4 linked regions of the Drosophila melanogaster genome follow. The protein of the gene in region 3 purifies or fractionates together with the protein of the main gene of each other region. This does not show direct contact. Each region holds a gene or a part of one and is shown on either strand. Other genes may lie near its edges. The genes, in order: Rrp4, Rrp6, Dis3 and Rrp42.

What was found.
Region 1: the proteins of Dis3 (region 3) and Rrp4 purify together in Drosophila melanogaster (affinity purification with western blotting; 3 studies listed by BioGRID, with this or other methods). This does not show direct contact.
Region 2: the proteins of Dis3 (region 3) and Rrp6 purify together in Drosophila melanogaster (affinity purification with western blotting; 3 studies listed by BioGRID, with this or other methods). This does not show direct contact.
Region 4: the proteins of Dis3 (region 3) and Rrp42 purify together in Drosophila melanogaster (affinity purification with western blotting; 3 studies listed by BioGRID, with this or other methods). This does not show direct contact.

The regions. Positions count from the first base shown.
Region 1 is NT_033778.4:23,554,160-23,558,115, reverse strand, and holds Rrp4 (Rrp4), read left to right. Parts: upstream 1-1,898; 5' UTR 1,899-1,977; coding exon 1,978-2,424; intron 2,425-2,487; coding exon 2,488-2,937; 3' UTR 2,938-3,098; downstream 3,099-3,956. Other genes in the region: ItgaPS5 (integrin alphaPS5 subunit), read right to left, coding at 1-36, 88-190, 252-1,092, 1,191-1,360; pita, read left to right, coding at 3,700-3,861.
Region 2 is NT_033777.3:14,881,745-14,888,468, reverse strand, and holds Rrp6 (Rrp6), read left to right. Parts: upstream 1-2,222; 5' UTR 2,223-2,526; coding exon 2,527-2,634; intron 2,635-2,708; coding exon 2,709-2,890; intron 2,891-3,002; coding exon 3,003-4,407; intron 4,408-4,645; coding exon 4,646-5,572; intron 5,573-5,664; coding exon 5,665-5,745; 3' UTR 5,746-5,971; downstream 5,972-6,724. Other genes in the region: CG33332 (uncharacterized protein), read right to left, coding at 1-619; CG33331 (uncharacterized protein), read right to left, coding at 859-1,887; CG3631 (uncharacterized protein), read right to left, coding at 6,409-6,616, 6,673-6,724. UniProt on the Drosophila melanogaster protein: Catalytic component of the RNA exosome complex which has 3'->5' exoribonuclease activity and participates in a multitude of cellular RNA processing and degradation events.
Region 3 is NT_033777.3:24,331,149-24,338,064, reverse strand, and holds Dis3 (Dis3), read right to left. Parts: upstream 4,633-6,916; 5' UTR 4,573-4,632; coding exon 4,193-4,572; intron 4,141-4,192; coding exon 3,696-4,140; intron 3,633-3,695; coding exon 2,554-3,632; intron 2,498-2,553; coding exon 1,829-2,497; intron 1,772-1,828; coding exon 1,396-1,771; 3' UTR 1,032-1,395; coding exon of another isoform or gene 995-1,031; 3' UTR 817-994; downstream 1-816. Other genes in the region: CG6432 (uncharacterized protein), read right to left, coding at 1-218, 995-1,031; Rrp5 (ribosomal RNA processing 5), read left to right, coding at 4,844-4,924, 4,981-6,916.
Region 4 is NT_033778.4:16,013,008-16,017,055, forward strand, and holds Rrp42 (Rrp42), read left to right. Parts: upstream 1-1,900; 5' UTR 1,901-1,970; coding exon 1,971-2,027; intron 2,028-2,084; coding exon 2,085-2,281; intron 2,282-2,332; coding exon 2,333-2,498; intron 2,499-2,552; coding exon 2,553-3,023; 3' UTR 3,024-3,043; downstream 3,044-4,048. Other genes in the region: CG8389 (uncharacterized protein), read left to right, coding at 1-529; Prosbeta1 (proteasome beta1 subunit), read right to left, coding at 884-1,038, 1,107-1,581, 1,645-1,689; EMC7 (ER membrane protein complex subunit 7), read right to left, coding at 3,132-3,257, 3,324-3,452, 3,518-3,664, 3,726-4,048.

The sequences.
Region 1 (3,956 bases), on a different chromosome or scaffold from region 3:
CTCCGTTTCCCGCGAAGGGCGCTCCAACGGCCAAGTCTACATGTGAACTAATGAGATACTATATCGAATACCCAGAGGATTACTCACCGTTGTATCCGTCGTGGTTGATATCGCCCACTTTAGAAAGCGAACTTCCGAAACGGGCACCACTGCTCAATGGCAAGCGAATTATCTTTTTCTCGAATTTAAACTGAAGCGGGAAATAGAAGCAGTCTGACTAATGGCGATTATAGGGAATTCGGTTAACTCACCAATCCCTTGTTGATGAACACGTATATGGCACCCACGTCATAGGAATCCCCTAGAGCGTTGAGTGGCGCGGATACGACCACATCCGTTAGTCCATCGCCATTGAGATCTTCCGCCACCACGGAGTAACCGAAGTACTCGCCCAACTGCTCGCCGTGAAACACATGCAGCTTACGGACTATCTCTCCCACAACGTCGAAAATGTATGCCTTGCCGGTATTCAGGACAGAGCTCGGCGCGGTGGTCACGTAGAGCAGACTGGTCCGGTTATTGCTGCTAAAGTATCCGGAGCTCAGGGCGTAACCGACGTATGTGAAGTGATTCTTTACCCAATCCCACGAATCGAGCATCTTGACTGCATAGCTTCCCTGGGCAGCCAAATCTTCTCCGCGGTGCACTAACACCGATCCCTTCCAGCTACGGACTCCCGGGGCGCCGATCAGGAACCCCGAGTTGTCGTCCGTCACATGGGCACTGAGCCCCAGCTCCAGCATGAAATGTTCTTCTGCTTGCGAAGGGATTAGACTGATAGTCCTCACGTCGCTCAGCGGAGGAGTGTCTGCCACTGTGTCCCGAACCCAGTAGCAAATTCCTCTCATTTGGCCATAGTTCTTGTTCTTCGGCACGAAAAACCGAGGTGCGCACACGAGCAGCTTGTCCGTATCCTTGGTGCCGCCATCCATAGAGCCGCCCAGCCACTGGAATTGCTTATTTAGCTTGTCGTTTAGGACGTAATGCGAGCAGGATCCACTGGCCAGGGGGCATCTGTAGACAGCTCCAGTCTCATTAATGCTGCCTTGCGATTCCAAGGTGGACTGAGCACGCGGAGCTCCCACGAAGATGCTGCATTGATCACGAAGTTTTTTGTTAGAAGGAACTTCATGGAATTTCAAGTGCAATCACAGTCTGGGATCGATAGCTTCCCTAGGATAAGATCTCACCTGGTTGGACGGATGACGAGCGAGTATCCAAAGTAGGAGCTTCGCACTTGGATCATTCGGGTTTTTAGGTGCTTTGGAGCATCTATCACTCGATTCGGCAATGGCGAAAAGTTCATTGCATTGCTCTGGTATTTGAGAGCCAAAAAAATTAGGAACAGAAGCCGATGCATTTTCTACTTCAAGTTTTTAGTCTTATTCTAGAAAATATTATTCCGGATGGGAATGTGCCTGCGAGCTCTGAGGCAATCCAACTGAAACAAGATGATGAATGTTTCAGAAGTCTAATGGAGCTTAGCTAACTTAAAGAAGACAGATAACTTATCATTGAAATGCCAGAGCAATTATTTCAAAGCTGTTCTTTAAAATTATAATTTGTATGCTGCTTATCTAAGGACAAACTCAAAAATGCTTTCGACATATATATTATACACATTAACAATAAATGTTATTTCATAAAACTAAGGAAACTAAAAACGTGATTTTAACAGTTTTTTTTAATCCCCTTTACTTTTATTTTATTTCGATTGTATGTATTTTTTGTTAGGCAATAGAATTTGCAAGTCTTCGTTACATTTACTTTCGAATTTCAACAAAATTGGTTTTTAAAATTGCAATTCGCCGCAACCGATAGGCACTGTAGTTGCGGCGAAGAAATGGAACTTGAACCGGAACCAGCAACGAACCCCGAACCCGAACCGGTTCCGCGTGGCGCGTGTTTTGCCAGCTGTTGCTCTTTTTGCCTCGCTCAAAATTAAATTTTTGTTTACCTCGCTTTGGCCAAACTGAGATGTCCACCAACGCGGCGATAGATCTGGCCCTGGACCGGGTGGACTGGCGCGACCTGGCCGCGCAGACGGAGGAACAGCCGAGGGTGTATACGCCGGGGGAAGTGCTGATGCCGGAGGCGGGATTCATGCGCGGCCACGGAACCTTCGTCGAGGACGAGAACATCAAGTCCTCGGTGGCCGGGGTGATCCAGAAGGTCAACAAGCTGATCTCGGTGCGCCCGCTTAAGAGTCGCTATGTGGGCGAGATCGGGGACGTGGTGGTGGCCCGCGTCAGCGAGGTGCAACAGAAGCGCTGGCGAGTGGACACCAATTCCCGGCTCGACTCCATCCTACTGCTCTCCTCGGTGAATCTGCCAGGCGGAGAACTACGACGGAGATCGGCGGAGGACGAGCAGATGATGCGACGATACTTGGACGAGGGCGATCTCATCTCTGCCGAGGTCCAGGTGGGTACTTCCTAACTTGCTGGTACTGGAGTAACTATATAATCTTTCTTCTCTGGCCACCAGAACATCTTTGAGGAGGGCTCCCTTTCGCTGTACACGCGCAGTTTGAAGTATGGAAAACTATCGCAGGGCATCCTGGTCAAGGTGTTCCCCGCTCTCGTCAAGCGCCGCAAGATGCACTTCCACAACCTGCCCTGCGGCGCCTCCGTGATCCTGGGCAACAATGGCTACATCTGGATATCGCCGACCAAGGGCCAGGAGGAGGAAGGCGGCGAGGGAGGATTCGCTCAGAACCTGAACGAGCATGTGCCGCGCGCGGATCGGGAGGTGATCGCCCGGCTGAGGAACTCCATCCTCGCGCTGGCCAAGTGCAAGCTGATGATTTACGACACCAGCATCCAGTACGCCTACGAGGAGTCCCTGCGCTACGAGGCCCACGAGCTGCTCCAGCAGAACGCCATCTACGACATCGGCCAGCAGACGCAGGCTCGTCTGAGGGACGCGGACGAGTAGTATATATGCATATACATATATTTTATACACAAGTAGCTTAAATAGAGGTTAATGTATTTTCTACCGTCAAATGAAAAATTAACATTTCAATGGGTTCGAAATTGGTGGATTTCAAAATTGCATCAGTGGGCTAAAATCTTAAATACACTGAAAACTATCGCAAGCTTTCTGTTTAATAAAAATGTTCATTTGATATTTCCTGAATTTGTATGATAAATGTTGGTTTCCTAATAAAAAGTCAGGTTTTCTAAAATACACAAACTCTTTAAAAAAGAAAACATTTATTGCATATAAGTTAGGTTTTATTGGCGTTTAAAAAATACATACATTTTCATAGCACTTTAGTTTTAGTTAAAAGTTTCGACTTAAAATTACTTTTAGTTAAAAAGCAGCTAAAATATCGATATTTTACCAGGACGCGCACCGAGTGGCAGCACACATTAGCGATCCGGCAACGCCCTGGCGGTTTGTGCAAATGAAAAGTGATTCTGCCTGGATGATAAAGGGACTCGGCATAAATTTTTTATTTTTATGTCATCCCATATTAGTGTGACGTTGTATTTGTGACAAATACTTGATTGTGTAAAATAAAAACAAAAAGTTTCGCTAGCAAAATTCACACAGAAACATCGATATCTGCATAGTGCACATCTCTAAGCGACGCCAAGCGATTGTTTTCCTCTCATTTGTAATCTGTACGCACTTTGCAAGTGAAATTCCGCGTTTCTACCGCCGCCCGGAACGAATTACCGCCAATTGCCGATGGCCGCGAAACTGGAGGTGCGCGAGGCCATGCTGACCGAGAAGAGGGTCTGCCGCTTCTGTCTGACCGAGCAGAAGCTGGCCTCGATTTTCGAGGAGAATCCGCGGGTGAAAACAACCGCCAATCTGCCGCTGCAGATTATGGCCATCACGGCGATCGAGGTAAGCGGCTCCATCCATGGGTTCTGGCTTGCACTAACCAGCGCCACGCATAACTTGGCTAAGAAGCCGCATCGCGGGTTTCCGCATCGACTGCG
Region 2 (6,724 bases), 9.4 Mb from region 3:
GCTTCATATTGCTCAGGGCGGCAAGGCCGCTCTTCAGTCCCACATCTGGCAGCTCAAGCATCCACTCTTCGCGGACATCTTGGTCTGTAGATGTACCCAATCCCCCGCCCTCCAGAGCTGCCAGTTTAAGTGCCAAAGCACGTTCCTCCAGAGCCACTTGACTGGCATTTGGCAGAGGACCAAAGGTGCCAGCTAGGTCATCATCGTCCTCAGCTTCCGCTTCCTTAGTAGGAGACTTTTCCCGGGTCAAATTGCTGGGCAGGACGGGTCCTATCATGGCCTGCGGTTGTGGGGCTGGTTGGCTTTGCTCAGGGAGTTCCGGCTGCTGGGTCTTCCTTAAATGCGGCGGTAAAGCGGGACCAAAGGAATCTTCGTTGTTTGTAGCCACATCTGGCGGAGATGCATTAATTAAATGTGGAGGTTGCGTGTAAGGCACAGGTGGCTCCTCCTCATGCTTGCTGCGTTTCTTCTCCTTGTGGCGACGCTTTTCTTTCTTGTGCTTTTTCGACTTCTTCTTTTTGGACTTGTCCACATCTTTGCTGTGCTTCTTAAGCTTCCGTTTCCTTTGCCTTTCATCGCTGGACGAATTGCTATCACTACTATTGTCGTCGCTGGACATGATCTGCAAATACAATTAATGAAATAATAAGTAAACCAAGATATTCCTGAGGTTATAAAGAGGTCCATTGGATGTGAAAAGAGAGAATCCCCAAGAAAACTCAGGTCTTTGGATTGGGCTAAACATTATATTGCAGTTAACAACTTTAAAGCTTAAAAGTATTTAACAAAATGCAGCTGGATGGGACAACTTAGTCGGTAGAATGATTGGCAGCCAGGGGATTAACCCGAAAAATAAACCTAAACAGCGAATGTCTTTTGAGCCTTGCGATAGCTATACGCCAATGACTTGAGAATGCCAGCACTGGGAATATTTTTGATCGATTGCGTGACACTGCTGCGCCACACAATGTCGTTGACGGATGCCTGCAGCACCTCCGGAAGCTGGGAGGCCATGGATAGGTGATTCACCACCTGGGTGTAGTCGCCACGACAGGCGGCATTTCGCTGCAATCGCTTCTGAAGCTCTCGGGGCAACTGTCGCAGGTGTTGGCATGTAGCCGATGAGGATTTGTCCTGCTCGAAGATTATGGCTGGTTTCCGGCTCCCTGGTTCCTGGCCCTTCATGTTTACCGCCACATAGTCGGAAAGTTGTCCCAGGGAGGGTTGGTATAGGGCGAAGAAGTCATTGATTTGCGGACTAACTATGTTGTGCACTTTCTGTTTGTTTTCCCCGAAAATCATACGGAAATCGCCCTTGTAACTCAGTCCGGCGATGGTGTGGAAAAGTCCGTAGGCAGTGAACTTCTCTGGTAAAAGTAGCAGAGCCACTTGCAGCGCGGATACAAGATTCCTCTCCAGCGCAGCCTTGAGGGGAGGATTATCAGAAGGATTGACCAGATTCGTCACTGGTTTGTGCAGCCTTCCTGCCAAGTAAAGATGCCGCCAGTCAAGCAGATCCTCCAGCAGCTCCTCCTGCGACACCACGCCGTACTTTATGGTAATGCCCACATCTGGCAGAGGCACCAACGTGTTGCAATAGACACCCGCACCCAAACGCTCCTGATACTTGGCCACAAAGTTCGGTCCCAGGTGCCTAAGGGCGGAATAGTGGTCCGGATGACGGTGCAGGTTCTCCGCATGGAAGCCCCTAGCATCACGAACGCAAAAGACCAGATCCACAACGGTTCCCGGCGGAGGACGCAGGTTGTTTCCATTGCCGACTTTTCCATAGCCTTCCTGCTGTTTGACGCCGGATCCGTAGGCGAACATATAGCTGACACTGCCCAGAGGAAACCGCGCCACCGTGCGTCTGTATAGGTCCAGCATCTTGTGCGTGTTTTACCTCCTAATTGGACTAAACTTAGGCTTTATAATTACTTTTTTTTTAGCACGTAACTCCACTTCTTCTGGATGGAGTTGATGCTTCTCGGTCAAGCTCCTCGCTTTTCGCCGGCGCCGGAGGGGTGTACACACTGGCAATCAGCTGGCTGAAAATTTTGTTCAGGGTTTCACTTGAACAATTTAGCGCCCTCTTGAAAAAATAAAAGAAAAGACCAAATATTTAACAAAGAAAATATTTATTCAGTTTAATTTATATTGAAAGGAATATATATTTAGTTCAATATAATAATAACATTTTGCTTTTAAAAAGAATTTGTAAAGTATTGTTCATCAAAGCAGGTTCTGTTTACGGTTTAACATAACGAAATATCACCATTCCAAATTTGGCTAACATTTGTAAAATACACCTTCATATCGATTTAATTCGATTGCGGTCAGCACCGTTTTAGTGCTATATAGTGATCAAATTTCGCCGCCGGTAGTGTTGACAAACTCCAAATTCAAGCTGTTGTTATTCTCAAAAAAGAAGAAGAGAAAACACGCACATTTTCCACAATCTGTAAAACGACAAAAAATTTGTACGAAAATAACACAAGACATTCGACAAGGAAACACTATACAGACATGCCGCGAACCCCGAAAAGAGTTCACCAGGAGGCCAAAGAGGAATCGGCCCAAGCAGACCAGCCGCCAAAGAAATCCGCTTCAGAAGATGTTGAGGCATTCACAAACGTGGGTAGCAATTCAGCCAGCGTACATAAGTATATTTCAATCCAATCCCTACGTGTTCTGCTCTGACATTCCAGAAAGGGTTCAAGAATGCAATCGCCGCCACAAAAGCCGCTAATGCTTTCCCACAAGGAACAGCCCGCGCCCTTTACCTAAGCTATCCAGGCTACGCACGTGTTATGGAAGACCTGACCCAACGGGTGGTGGCGCTCATCGGGAACGTGCTGCACTCCAAGGACATCAAGGGCGACATCAAAAAGTAAGCTTCTAACCATGACATTATTCGAAATGTTGAAAATACAGCACAGCCATTGAAATCAAAGTTGGTACCTGTATCTGTAAATAACAATAGATCTTTATTCTTTAAACAGACGCCAACCGGAAGAGCAGTTTGAGATGGTGCAGGAGTGCAACGACGTACTGTTCGAGCGCATTACGACTAATCTAGACATTAAAGGTGGTCTGCGAAGAAATACACAACAGGTCGTAGAGGCCCAGGTGGACGTGATGAGCAGCTCCACATCCATAGAGCCCGCAGTAGCTTCCCCACAAACCCAAGGGACTCCAAAGGCAGGCAGCTGGAACAGAACGACAGGAACACCCCAACGCAGCATGGTTTCGGCTCGTCTCTTCACCGCCAAGAACATCGTTCGGCCGCAGACGCAATTTAGGGAGCCGGTGGATAACAGTGCCCAGAATCCGTTTGTTCCAAGACTCAAGGAGAAACCTAATTCTCTTAAACCGCTGGCCCTGCTGCCCGAATACGATGATGCCGGCAATGTCCAATCCTATTTGCATCCCTACGAGTTTGAGCTGCTTAAGTTTCAGCCTCCGGAGGAGCAGTTCCAAAAACAAAAGCCAGTGCTTCCAGCTCTGATGGCAGAAACCGAACTAATGGTGGTTGACACGGTGGAAAAACTGAAGCAGGCATTGGAGGAACTGAGACAAGCGCCCCAGATCGCCATAGATGTGGAGCACCACTCGTATCGCACCTTCATGGGCATCACTTGCCTGGTCCAGATGTCTACTCGCAGCAAAGACTATATTTTTGATACCCTGATCCTACGCGATGATATGCATATACTAAATTTGGTACTCACCGATCCCAAGAAGCTGAAGATACTGCACGGCGCCGATTTGGATATTGAGTGGCTTCAGCGGGACTTATCGTTGTATATCGTCAACATGTTCGACACGCATCGGGCTGCCAAAGCCTTGAATATGGCAAGGTTATCGTTGGCATATTTGCTTAAGCACTATCTGGACTTGGATGTGGACAAGAGCCTGCAACTGGCCGATTGGCGGATGAGACCGCTTCCCCAGCAGCTGGTGGACTACGCTCGTCAGGATACCCACTTTTTGATATACGTTTACGGACGGATGACAAACGATCTGCTGCAGCAGCATGCCGAACCAGGTCTGCTGGGCAGTGTCTATCAACAGAGCACGGATGTCTGCAAGAAGCGTTATAATAAGCCTCACATCGGACCAGAATCCCATTTGGATTTAGTAAGAAAAACGAAGCGCTCTTTCGACAACCGGCAACTGTACGCACTTCGCGGAATCTTCGAGTGGCGCGATGCGACGGCGCGGTCAGAGGACGAGAGTTACGGCTATGTGCTGCCCAATCACATGATGCTGCAAATCGCTGAGAGTCTTCCAAGGGAGATGCAGGGAATCCTCGCCTGCTGCAATCCCATTCCGCCGCTGGTGCGCCAACAGCTGCACACGCTTCACCAGATTGTCCTCAAGGCGCGCGATCAGCCGCTGGTCAAAGTGAGTTTCTTGGCGGTTTCAAGCAGCGCTTGCAACTCGATCAACGTTGGCGCCTATACCGATAATTTTTCATTACCAATTAACTGTAACTAACATTGAAATGAAGAACATGTTCTGAATTCACCTTATAGTTCAATTCATTTCACAACCGCAGGTCAACTAAAATAGGTTTAATGTTACCAAGTGTTGGGGTGGTATATCTAATGTTTAATGTTCTTGACTTTACTTACGATTTTAGCCGATCCTGGAAGCCCACAGTAGTACACAGGCAGCGTTGCCTCCGTCGACCAAAGACTTTAGCAGCAAGCTCTACTGTCCGCACGATTTTTCGCAACTGGAGGAGATTCGCGACGACCTGCCAACGCTGTTGAAACGTAATTCAACTACAGGAAAACTGGAGGTGCCCAATAAGGAGGAGGTTGCCAAAGTAGATCCAACCTTAGCGGCACCAGCCATGGCTCTGTTCGAAAAGCAGTCCAAGCCGACACAAGAAGAGGAACAGCGCTGGGCCCATCTTCGCAAGGAGAGCCAGACAATGCGTATGCCCTACAAACGCTATCTCGCCATCCTACCTCTGATGGTGCAGCTGAAGGCCGATCAGTTGGCCAGGGAGCGAAGTGAGTTGCAAAAGAGGCAATTGTGTCCAGCAGCCCCAACTGTGGAGCAAAACATTAAGCTGGAGGCACACGCCATCGGAAAGGAGGATGATGACATGTACTCCGTCCCGCTGAAGGAACAACTGAAGCGCAAGCACCCACAAGCGAACGTGAAAACAGATCCGGAACAGCAGCCGACTGCTAGCAAGCGACCTCGCAAGGACGAGAATTCACAAACCAAACCGCCGGTAAAGATCGAACCAGTCGAAAAAGTTCAGCAGGCTTTAGGCGAAAGCGATGATGAGGTCGTTGAGGTTCCTATCGAAAGGCAAGCCACAGAGCCACCGAAACCATCACCGGCACAGAACAACCGCAAGCAAAAGAAAAATCAGTTCCAGCGCGGATTCAAGGCCAAGAATCGAGGAAACCACCCGCAGAGCTCCAGTCAGCAGGTTCCGCAGCACAAGGGTACAGGCAACTTTGACTACAAGAACGTGGACTTCCGGCAATTCAAGGGAGGAGCGCAAAGAGCCCGGGGCACAGAAATCAAGCAGCAAATTCGCGGCAAGGTGAGTGCTATGAAAAGTATTAACAAGCTGGCTTAGCTTTTACTGAAACGATCTCTTCACTAAACATTTATAACGCTTGTTTTTTTTTTTAGAACCGTCCCAACAATCGGAACAACAAGCAGTTCAACAAGCTTTTTACATTTAGTAATGTAAGAAAAGAGGGCAAAAAATGAACTGCAATCGTGACGAAGTCTGTAAAATATACATAACTGGTATATATGTGAATTCAATAGTAAGAATGCGAGCAACACGAAAACTGATTGATGAAACTGATGAAGAAATAAACAAGTGTTTATTTTTGATTGTTTATAAATTCTTTTCAAGTTACAAAACTATTTTTTCTGAGCTTTGCAATTTTCTAAAATATTACCTATTAAATAACAACCGTAACTATTCATTAAACTAGACTATCGGATATGTTGTTATGGATCGGTTTGTAGTTCAATATTTAAGAACAGTTTTAAGAGATGGTCATTGAAAAAATATGGGAAAACCAAATAATAATTGGGACGTGGGAAATGTCATGGTAATAGGTTTAAATTTCAAACTTATTTCGTCACAACGAATTTTGTATGATTTAATTCCTAATTGGATGGCATCTCAATTTTTCGAAAACTTTTCTAGCATTCAAACCAATACAAGAAAGGACAAAAGAACTTAATTTAAAATAGGAAAAAACCTGTTTCGGGCATTTAAATATTTGGAAGAAATACAGAAGTAAAACATGGACTAAAATAATACGATAATTTCTCTATCTAACTTTAGCTTAAGTAGGATGTGGAAAGTGAGTTCCTAAAGCTCTAGTGCTGGCCATTAGCCCCAATCTTGAGCTGAAACTACAGAGTTTTGAACATTTTGTCGCCCTCGATGTCCATGCAGTGCTCCACAACAGCATAGACCACCAGAAGTCGTCGCTCCACTCCTTTTTTATGCTTATCCGTAATCAGGGGATAGAGAGCATCCTGCTTGGATAGTCGATCGATGATTTCCGTGAGTACGCCGCCGGAAAAGACTTGCAGGCGATCCCACGTGGACTTTCGCAGACTGTAAGGTATAAACGTAAATAGTTATAGGTATTTGGAAATTGGTCGAAGACTTACAGGCAGCATTGGTAGAGTGGCGCCAATATGTCCAAGTGATCCTTGTTCGGGT
Region 3 (6,916 bases):
GCGATCAATGGAATTGTAGCAGGCATTCAGGTAGCCACCCACATACCACTTGGTGAATGGCGGATTACTGTTGTCCAGTACCTTCTCCCATGGCCGATCCCAGTCGAGCAGGTTACCCTGCTCCTCCCAAAATGCAGCCGGATTCTGAACACTCTGGCGATAGGCCTTCAAGTAGAGAGGATCGTGAGCCTCCACCGGCATGCCGCATACAGATTCACCTGCGGAAAAGGTATAGCAGCAGGTGACCATTAGATGGGCGGGTTCATTGTTTCCTCTATTGGGTTAATCGCTGCTTTTAATTAGGCTATCAAACTAAATTACAAACCTTCCACTCCATACCACCTTACACACACCAGGCACATTGAATTTTAAATTTTCCAAATGTCGCGGTCACTCAACTGATTTCTATATACCCAACCTGGCACCCATGTACTGCACATATGCGTCGGGTGTGCGGCTCACCCAGACGCCGAGCATAATCCACACGTGATTGGCGATGGATATTGGACCTAAAAGCCTCCTTGTTGAATAAGCTAATCGAATTCATTAATATTTAGTGCCGACAGTTTGGGCGCACAACTAAACACTAATTAATCACTTCAAAGTCGCATCGAAAGTTCATTATTTTAATTGGCGAGCAGTGGTTTAAAACACAATATTTATCACCTTGAACTCTTGTGCATAAATTATCTATCTATCTACATCGCACTGCAAGAATCCAAGAATATTGTAAAAAGTTGGACTCCACTTAGATAGTTTTTGGAAAATTCGAAAATCTATAGAATTCATTTAGATCACAACGAAAGTTGGCATATTAGTTTTCCAAGCACTTTATTTGATGTTCTAAAAGTTGTTTATTTTAACTGATGTTTTCAATATGCGTATTAAAATATGTGTACCGATATAAATATATGTTCCGCAAAAATCACGCGATTACTCATTGATTAAATTTTTTAGCCTTTTCATATGAATTTCGAAACCTTTTTCGACTTACTGCCTTCGTAGTTCACTGCACTAGGACCGGGTTCCATTGTAACTTTGTATAACTTCCGTTCTTGTATATATTCAAGTCAAGTTAATGTATATATGTATTTATTATATATATTCTTTTTGAATTTTTTGGATCAAACGAGCTCAGCACAACCGTCGCACTGTAGTCGAAACTTTGCAATGGGTCTGGAGAATGTAGAACGCAAGTTGGAAACCAAAACCTTAAACAAAACACCCGATCAAAGGTATGCTTTCGAAACTCTCCGAGATCGGCAGAGCCGGAACGGTGGAAAAGGTTTACGAAACGGAGCGGAATTTAAAAACCTTACATTTTATTTATACGAAATGATTGTAGTTACACATCTTCAGCGTAGTCTAGTTCCACATAAGCAAAGATCCAAAGAATTACTTCTTTTTCTTATCCTTCTTTGTCTTTTTCGATGGAGGTGCCGCAGAAACCGCTTGGCTATCAGTTCCTTCGGTGGTCGTTTCCACGCTGAAGCCCTTGATGTACGGCTTGACCAGCCGGAAGATCAGCTTCTCGTGCTGCACATTGCTGGAATCCAGGCTAAGACGAACCGTGACTGGATCAAAGGAGTGGAACACCACGTCACCGCAACGCTGTGTATGATCCTCTTCGTTGAAGGTGAAGACAATCTCGCTCTTGACGCGCTCCACACCGTCCTTGCCATCCTTGTCCGACTTTAGATACAAAGTGCCTTCCAGGCCATACTTGGGGATTAGCACTTGCAGAGCATTCTTGCGCACAAATAGCACATATCTAGGGATGGGTAATAATTGAAAAGAATGTTGCCCACTAGTGGTTTCTTCGACTCACCCTTCCTCATCCTCCTCCTTGCCGCGGAAAAAGAGATGCGTGTTGAGGGCCACTGATGCGCGACCAGCGTACTGAGCCATTTTGTGGCGGTAGTTAAGATTATGACACAGCTCCTCATTTGACTTTCGGTCCAATAGCTGGGCATAGGTGCTATCCGCGCCGATTGAGGCGGCCAGCAGGCGATGTACCATAATGTCGGAGTAACGACGAATGGGCGACGTAAAGTGCGTGTAGATGGGAGCAGCCAGACCGTAGTGGAAGAACTCCTCCTTCTGCAGACTGCCGCTGATGAAGTACACTGCCTGCATCATACAGCGTGTGGTGAGGATGCGGATCATTGTGTTAAAGTACGGATTATCCGCCTTGACACACTTGTCCAGTGAATGCGACAGCTCCAGTCCCGAATTGATGTCCACCTGGAAGCCCTGGTAGCGCGCAGACTTTACCAGCGGATCGAAATTGGTAGGCGGTGGCCGAGGATGGCGACGCAGAACAGCGCACTCGGAGAACTCCGTTGCGATATGCTCGGCCACCGTGATGTTGGCCAGCAACATGAACTCCTCCACCATGGAATTCGTCTCGCGCATCTGCTTCACCTCCACCTCGAGTGGTTCGTGTGTCTCGCTGTCCACCTGGAAGCGGATCTCCGGGGAGGCAAGGACAAGGGCTCTGTAAATTATGGATGCCTTAGTTCACTTGATTACGAGGTGTTAATATAATCTTACCCATTATCCATTCGTCGCTTTTTCAGTATTTTGGCCAACCGATTAAGATTTCTCAGGGACTTGGCTATTTCATTCTGTTGCGTGGCATCGTCGATGATATTCTGCGCTTCCTCGTAGGTCATGGCACGCTTCGATTTGATGACGCTCTTGTGGAAGCGTTTGCTTAACACATTTGCTTCATTGTCCACTTCCCACACGCAGGAGAAGGCGAATCGCTCAACACCGCCAACCAATGAGCAGAGATTTGAGCTGAGTAACTCGGGTACCATGTCGATTCGTTTGCCCACCAAGTACACGGTGGTTCCCCTGGCCGCTGCCTCCATGTCCAGTGCGTTTCCTGGACGAATAAAGTGACTTACGTCGGCTATGTGAACGCCCACTTCCAGATTGCCGTTCGGTAGTTCCTTGCAGTGCAAAGCATCATCGATATCCGTGCAGCCCGGGGGATCCACAGAGCAAATGTACAGATCCCTCAGATCCACACGCTTGGAATAGTCCTCGTCAGTAATTGTCCAGGGCATTTTCGGCAAGAAGCTAAGCACTTCGTCCGAGAACTTGCAGTGCGGGACGTCGTGCTCCAGCAGGATAACCTCGTTCTCGGTGGCCATGTCTCCGAGCGGTCCCAGGGAGCGCACAAAATGTCCATGTGGGTAGCGCGAGTTGCGCGGCCATGTGTCAATCGTTACGATGATGCGCTGGTTCTGCAGCATTGCTGCCTGTCGCGTTTCGATACGGATGCGCGGAATCTTACGGTCGGCGGGCACAAAGATGTGCCGATTTGTATCCTCTATTAAGCTAGGCTGCAGGATGCCGCAATACTGTCGCCATTTCCGTCGCACAATACCGACAATTCGCCCTGTGGGCGTGCGCTCTGCGGATAAGGCAGCGGCACGCACCTGATTCAACATCTCATTTTCATCCTTGGCCCTTTCCTCGCTGGGCACTTCATCGGCATAGACATTCTTCTCCTCCAGTACAATTTCACTGGGTGCTGACCACTCCGCCTCGGGCAAAAGCTCCACGGCCACCAGGTCGCCATCCACGGCCCGATTAAGAGACTCGCGTCCTTGGATAAGGATCTATTAAACAGAAATCGTATTGTGAAGCGTATGCCAGGGAAGATATTTAGCGTTTTAACTTACCCCCTTTTCGAATTTCTCTACATTGACGGTGCCCTCCAAGTAGTTTTCCCTGGATGCCTGAAAAGTGCCCTGTAGTAGCTTATTTTGGCGCAGTCCTTCCAGCAGCTCCTTCATGCTGAGATGCGGCGGGTACTGGGGCAGACCATTCTTCTCGCTGTCGAATGTTTTGTGCGACAGCTTATCCATCAGAAGTGGAAAATCCTCGAGAGATTTCACGTACTCCGCTGCTGTGGTCACCAGAATACCTTCTGCTTCGGCCTTAGCACGATTGGCAGCATCATCTGTGAGCAGAACAACTCGCGTAGCAGCTTTGCCACTGCGCTCGAACTCTTTAGAGGATTGCGAGGCCTGCAGGTGATCATCGTACCACTTGGTGGCCAGACGAATGGCCCGATCATTGCGATCATTGGCGGTCTCATCTGGTTCGCGATCAGCATAGGTTTCCCTAGAAGAAGCACTATATTATAAAGGTTTCCCAAGAAAATCCATTAACCCACTTGTGGTGCTCGTTGACGAACACATAGAAGTTCCTGGTGCGGTCGTGGACGATCTCATTGAATCGCTTGTAAATGGCGGAGCTCCTGTGCTTCACCTCGTTGAGCACGGTGGTCAGAACGACTACGTTGCGCAAAACATCCTCCTCCAGCACGTCGATCTGGTCCAGAACCACATTTGTGTCCAAAACGAGATAGTGCGGGAATTTGAAGAGGGTGCTCTTATTCGCGTGCTGCGAGGTGAGCTGGTATACCTCGTTTTGGAAACACTCCCGGCACAGCTCGGAGCCGCAGCCGATGTCGTCGCGCAGATAGTGCTCCCGTACAATCTTCAGAATGTTGCCGCGCTTGGTTTTACGCGTAAATTCGCGTAAAGTTTGCATTTTGTTGAACCGCGTTCGAATTGTTACACCTTCACATGTGTGCCGGAATAGGGAGGCCCGTGCATGATTCGACTGCGGTATTATCTGCCTAAGGCCTGTTCACACTGCAGCCGCAATGGTCACAGTGGTTTGAGTCTACGGACTGCCCCGTATCTTAAGGTATAATTTAGTACCATTTATTGAACTGATTTTCTATATCGGCGCTTAGCACGTGTAGAACGCACGTTGCTCAAATTTTGTTATTTAAAACGCTAAATTACACAGCTCCCGGATGGTGCCGAACGAGAAAAGCTTTCCCCGAGGCGGGACAATCCACAGCGAAGTCAAAACCGACGACGTGAGCCTGAATATCGTGAGTTTAGCCAGCGAAATATCCGAGATCTTTGTACATACTTTTCTGTCCCACAGGTTTTCGGTGCCTCGCAGAAGAAGGTGAAGAAGGCGCCGAAAGTAAAAGAGAACCTTCTGAGCTACGAAACCGAGGAACAAAATGGCCAACTGGAGGCCTTCTCCGCGGAAACGCTCAATATGGACACGCTGCAGGAGGACATGCTGGTCATGGGAGTGGTCAAGGAGTTGACAGCCACCGCACTGCAGATCGCTTTGCCCGGTCGGATGTTCGCCCGCACCTTGGTGGCGGATATATCCGACGCCTACACCCGTGTGGCCAAGGCGGCCATGTCCGGAGACACCAGCGAGTACCACGACCTTACCGAGCTCTTCCAGTTGGGCCGCATCGTCTACGGCAAGGCCATCAAAACAGAAAAGCTGGACACCGGTCGGGTTAGCCTGCTCCTTTCCCTCAAGCCGGCCGATGTGCACGGTAATCTGCATCACAAGAGCATTAAGAAGGGTTTCATCTTCTCTGGCGCCGTGGCGGAGGCTCTGGAGCACGGCTATGTCATCGAGTCGGGAGTACAAGGACTTCAGGCATTCGTGCCATGCGAGAAGCCAGCTCAGAAGCTACACGTGGGGCAGTTGGCTTTCCTAAAAGTCAAAACCGTTCATCACGACACCCACCAGAGCACCTGCACCTGTGTCCAGGTGGAGCAGGACCAGCTGCGCATCAAGAGTCAAAACGAGACGAATCTCGACTACATTCTGCCAGGCAGCATTGTAAAGTTTAAGGTGGCCAAGCATCTGAAGGATGGCCTCAAAGGCAGCATCATGAATGAATCCTTTAGTGCCTACGTCAACGAACATCATCTAGCTAACGCTTTGGATACTTTGGATGCCTACGAGCTGAATGAGGATTACAATGCCAGGGTACTCTACGTGATGCCCCTAACCAAACTAGTGTACTTAACTCTTAATCTGGATATCAAAACTGGAGCTGCAGTAGCAAAAGATCAGGATGAGGAAGAGCAGGAGGTAGAGCCCATAAAGGTGGGTTCCGTGGTGGAAAAAGCCAAGGTTCTGCGCTTGGGCAGCGGTGGCGTGGTACTGCTTCTTAATAAGAAACTAAAGGGCATTATCTCATACGGTTCAATCAGAGGCAATTTCAAGGGAAATTATGACAAGGACGAAGTATTGTCCAAATACGGAAGAAAAACGAAGCATAAGGTTCGCATCCTAGGATACGATGTCATCGAATCCTTGTACTACTGCTCCGATGATCCCAACGTGGTCAACGAAAAGCTGTTCTGCCTGGAGGATATTAATGCCGGCGATCTGGTCACAGCGAAAATATTCAAGAAGGATGACAAGATCAAGGGCTGGTCGGTGAGGATCGGCAAGGTCAACGGAATACTGGAACAGTTCTATCTGGCACCCAATGTCCGCTACGATGTGGGTCAGTCGTTGAAGTGCCGCGTCCTAGAAGTTAATGCCGAGCGAAAAATCTGCTACGTGAGCAATCGTGCCGAGTATTTGGGCAAGGGAATTAAAATTCTGACTGATTATGCGTCCGCTCACGTTGGAAACGTCTATATGGGCACAGTAGTCCGATGTGAGGACACTTACGTCCTAGTGAAGTTCGGCAACGGCATCAAAGGAGTTTTGCACAGGCAGAATCTAAAGGAAAATAGCTCATTTTTCGAGGGACAAACAACTAAGTTCCGCATCCTAACACGCAACAAGGACCAAATCACTTTGACTTTGCCGGAGGACAAGTTCCAGCTTGGTGAGATCTGTCCCGTTGAGATAACCAATGCCTTAGACGCTGGACTGGAAGTTAAAATCACCTTCGCCGCCGAAGATGACGAAGAGGATGAAGATGGGAATCCAAAGCTGGAGGAGTTTGTGGGCCTAATTCCACTGCGATTGTTGTCGGATCACCTGGAGCTGCTGCACGCCCAAATGCGGGTCCATCCCGCTGGCTCTTACACCGATGCGGCCTGCATTA
Region 4 (4,048 bases), on a different chromosome or scaffold from region 3:
CAGCCAAATGGTGGCCTTCTGCATGTCCCTTGTGGCTGGCGCCGACATTGTGTTCCGTTTGCTGCTGCCCATCGTCACAGATCACCTTAGAATACCCTATCGCGTAGTGTTCCTGATCGGCATTGTTGGACTCTTTGTCGCTCGCTGTGTGCTTGCCGAGAATCAAACGCTGCCCGTGATCATCACCATGTCTGTGTTGACAGGCATGATGAAATCAGCCACTGTAATCAACAACAATCTCACCATATCGGCGCATTGCCGCTCGGAAAAACTGGCCGGCGGTCTGGGTCTGAGCATGATGTCCAAGGGCGTTATTGTTATCACAGTGGGCCAGCTGCTGGGATGGGTGCGAGACTACGCCGACTCCTACCTAATCTGCCTTTATGCTCAAGGAGTCATTCTGCTGGTGGTGGTTCTTGTTTGGACACCGGAGATATTGTACCGCCACCGCAGGCAGCGATGTGCCACCAACAAGTCCATGGAGACGCAGTCTATAGACGCAGCTGAAGTGGCCAAACTCAACTCCTAAATCTCTGGTCACTACCTGACTGGATAAGAGTTTAAGCGAAGGATATCGGTATTGACTGTCATGTGATAGGCGATGAAATGACTTCCCCGTAGGGAACATTCCACTCTCGCCGCAGTAGTTATCTGAGTTGTGAGGAAGGACCAGTGTCAGGAACAGCACTATCTGTATGACTATGCATCTTAGGTTTAGGTTTTCGATTATTTATTACCATTTTAGCCCCTAGACCTAACTTTTGTACTGCCATAAGAGCCAAAATACAAATTAAAGTATGCATATTACAAAAACCAGGTTTATTAGCATGAGACGAGTTTGCAACTCTTTCTCTGATCGATCTTACTTGGGTAGGTATACTATTTATTCCGAGGAAATGAAGCTGGGAGTGCTGGAAACAGCCGATGCGCCCGATTCTGTGTTGTAGAAGATGCGTCGCTCGATGCCATCCTTGGTGATGATGCCAATGCGCACCACACCACCGGAGCTGCCATCGTGGTAGATAGCGTGCTGGACAGCTGTTGGAGGAGGTTTAAATGGGATTCGATTGAAGGGAAACTGTTTTGGTTTTTTTGGGATTACCTACCCTTCTTGACGAATGTAACGCAATCCTCCAGCGCCATATTGGGGCGGTAGTGCTCCCTAACAAATCCGTAGATAAAACTAGATCCCGATCCGCCGATGGTGCAGGACTCGCGGGTCAGCATGCCGCCCAACGGGATGCTGTACACCTGGCCGCCGCGCTGCTCATCCCACCCAGCCACAATGATGCCGGCAAGCAGGGACTCGCGGTAGCTGTAGCAGTAATTACGGAACTCTGAGGCGGCCTCGAACACCAGAGCATCCTTGTTGGTCTGATTCTCGTGATAGTTCAGCGAGTAGGCCACAATGTCGGCAATGGCCTGGGTGTCGGCGGCCGAGCCACTGCGGCAGCAGTACACTTTGTCCGTGATGCGGGTCAGCTTGTCGGTGACCCGATTGGCAACATAGGCGCCCGAGCTGGTGCGCGAATCGGCTCCAATGACCACTCCGCCATCGAACTCCACTGCCATAATGGTGGTCTGCAAATAGGTAGGATTGTGCTCTTAGTACGAAGTTATGTGGCTGATGCTCTTCATACTTACACCAGTGCTGACCGGTGTGTCGGTGAAATCAAAGTCGGGCTGCATATTGATCTTTAAATTTGTTACAATTCAATTTACAATTGATATTTGTTGAAACGCCGCACGAACACGAAATGACTGGCTTGTTTTGGATAAGTGTTACCAGATGGCGATGTGAAATGAAATGCTTCAAATGAAAACATACACCTTTCGCACTGACAACAGTTCAGTAAAGTAAAAACGAAGTGCCAGCAGCCCTGCTTTGCGGTATATCGATAGTATCGATGTGGGTTCATTGCACATGTTGAATTTGTTTTGAATATTTGTTTTCTTGAATTAAGTCTAAAATGGCATACGTTGCACTGAGCGAAGCTGAAAAAACATATATTCTACACGGCGTGGAGGTGTGTTAAACGGTTATGCAAGAAATATAGTCTGTACCTTAAACTATGCGTTTCCAGGATGACTTTCGTTGCGATGGACGTTCACGACGAGATTACCGGCCCATGGACCTGGAAACTGGACTGGTTAGCAATGCCAGTGGATCCGCTCGCCTTCGGCTGGCGAACACAGACATACTGGTGGGCGTCAAAACCGAGATTGATGTACCCAACCCGCTGACGCCCGAGTTTGGTAAACTGGAATTTTTTGTGGATTGGTAATGATGCAACTGAAGTTCGAAGAATATGCCATAACATATATATTTCAGCTCTGCTAATGCCACGCCGGAGTTTGAAGGACGCGGGGGCTCGGATCTGGCCCAAGAACTTATTCTCTCCCTGCAGAACGCCTACGAATCGCCATTGGCCTTCAACTACCGCACGTTGTGCCTCATTCCGGGTCAGCAGTGCTGGAAGCTGTACATAGACATCCTGGTTAGACTCTAGTGTGCTTAATTATACCGAAAATGCTAATCCCTGTTCTCGCAGATTCTGGAGTGTGGCGGCAATCTACACGACGCAGTGTCGCTGGCCGCCAAAGCGGCTCTGTTCAACACAAAGCTGCCCCGGGTGACAGCCACCATGTTGGATGCCGGCATCACAGACCTCATCATATCGGACAATCCGTATGACTGCACCCGCATCGGCATCGAGACGGTTCCGCTGTTGGTCACAGTTTGCAAGATCGGTGATTATGTCCTGGTGGATCCTTCGGCGGAGGAGGAAGTCTGCAGCACAGTGAGCATGGTTGTGTCAGTTTCCATGCGGAATGGACAGGCATTCCTTTCGGGTACACACTTGACCGGCGGCGGAGCCATGCACCGGGACACCATGCGCAACTGTCTGGAGCTGGGTCTGGCCATTGGCGAGCATCTGGACCGGCTGCTCACTAAAATGCTAAATCTGGAGCAGCAGCGCGTCGGACTCAAGCGACCGCAAATAGTAGGATTTCTTAAATAAAGCGGCAAAGTCTTGTAATGAAAATTTACTATTTAAACGATCTGACTCTGACTTGGAGCTCGGCGCTCCGATTAAGCTTAATACTAAAAGCTATCTGGTGGCCAACTACTACTGGTCCTTGCGCTTCTTCGCCTGCCTGACGGCCGGAGCAGGCTTCTTCTCCTTGGGCTCGGGCTGCTTGCCCGTTAGCAGTGAAGTCAGCATTTCGCTGATCTCGGGCATATCGTTGCCCATCTGTGGAGCAGAGCATGATTCATATAATACTATAGTGCTGTGCTATACATGATCCTCACGGCTTACCTTTGGGAACTGCAGATTGTCGATCTCCTTCTTTGTCTCGGGATCGTTGATCATCTTGGGCAGCACCAGCATAAGGAGCAGAGGCAAGACCATCATTAGGACCATGGGGCTGAACAAGAAGTCGGTGATCTGTGTGGGTCAAGAGCAAAAGTTAGTTTTGTGATTCTTCCGTTGGTGGCAATATAATGATGCACCTTCCACTGCTCTCTGGTCTGGAAGTATTTAAAGGGCATCAGTGGCTTCACGCGCAGGGGATATGCCACCTGCATAATTTGGGCGGGCTGCACAAAGTTCACTTTGCGGGCGCGGAACTTGCCCTTGGGATTGATCTCGACGCGCACCTGCAATTGAAGAAATTTTTAGTGATTCTGGCATCATATTGAATGGATTCCCTTAACTGACCGGCTCATAGAAAACATCCGGGTGGTGGACATCCAGGATATAGCTGCCGGATGGCACTCCGCTGATCATGAACTGCCCATCCTCGCGGACGAATCCCTTAAATTCGCCGTCGTTGATGGAGAGCGTAATCTCTGTGTGCCACTTCGGTGTATTCTTGTTCACCGGAGCACTTCGTCCGCCTCCTTGAGTGGGTGAAAAAATGGAATCCGGCGGGGAAACGCGTCCTTCGATGGTGTACAGGCCAGACACCTCGTCCACCAGTTCGTCCTGGCCAATGATAACCTCGCAGCTGACAAGGGCCAGAAGGGCCGTAAAAACAAATA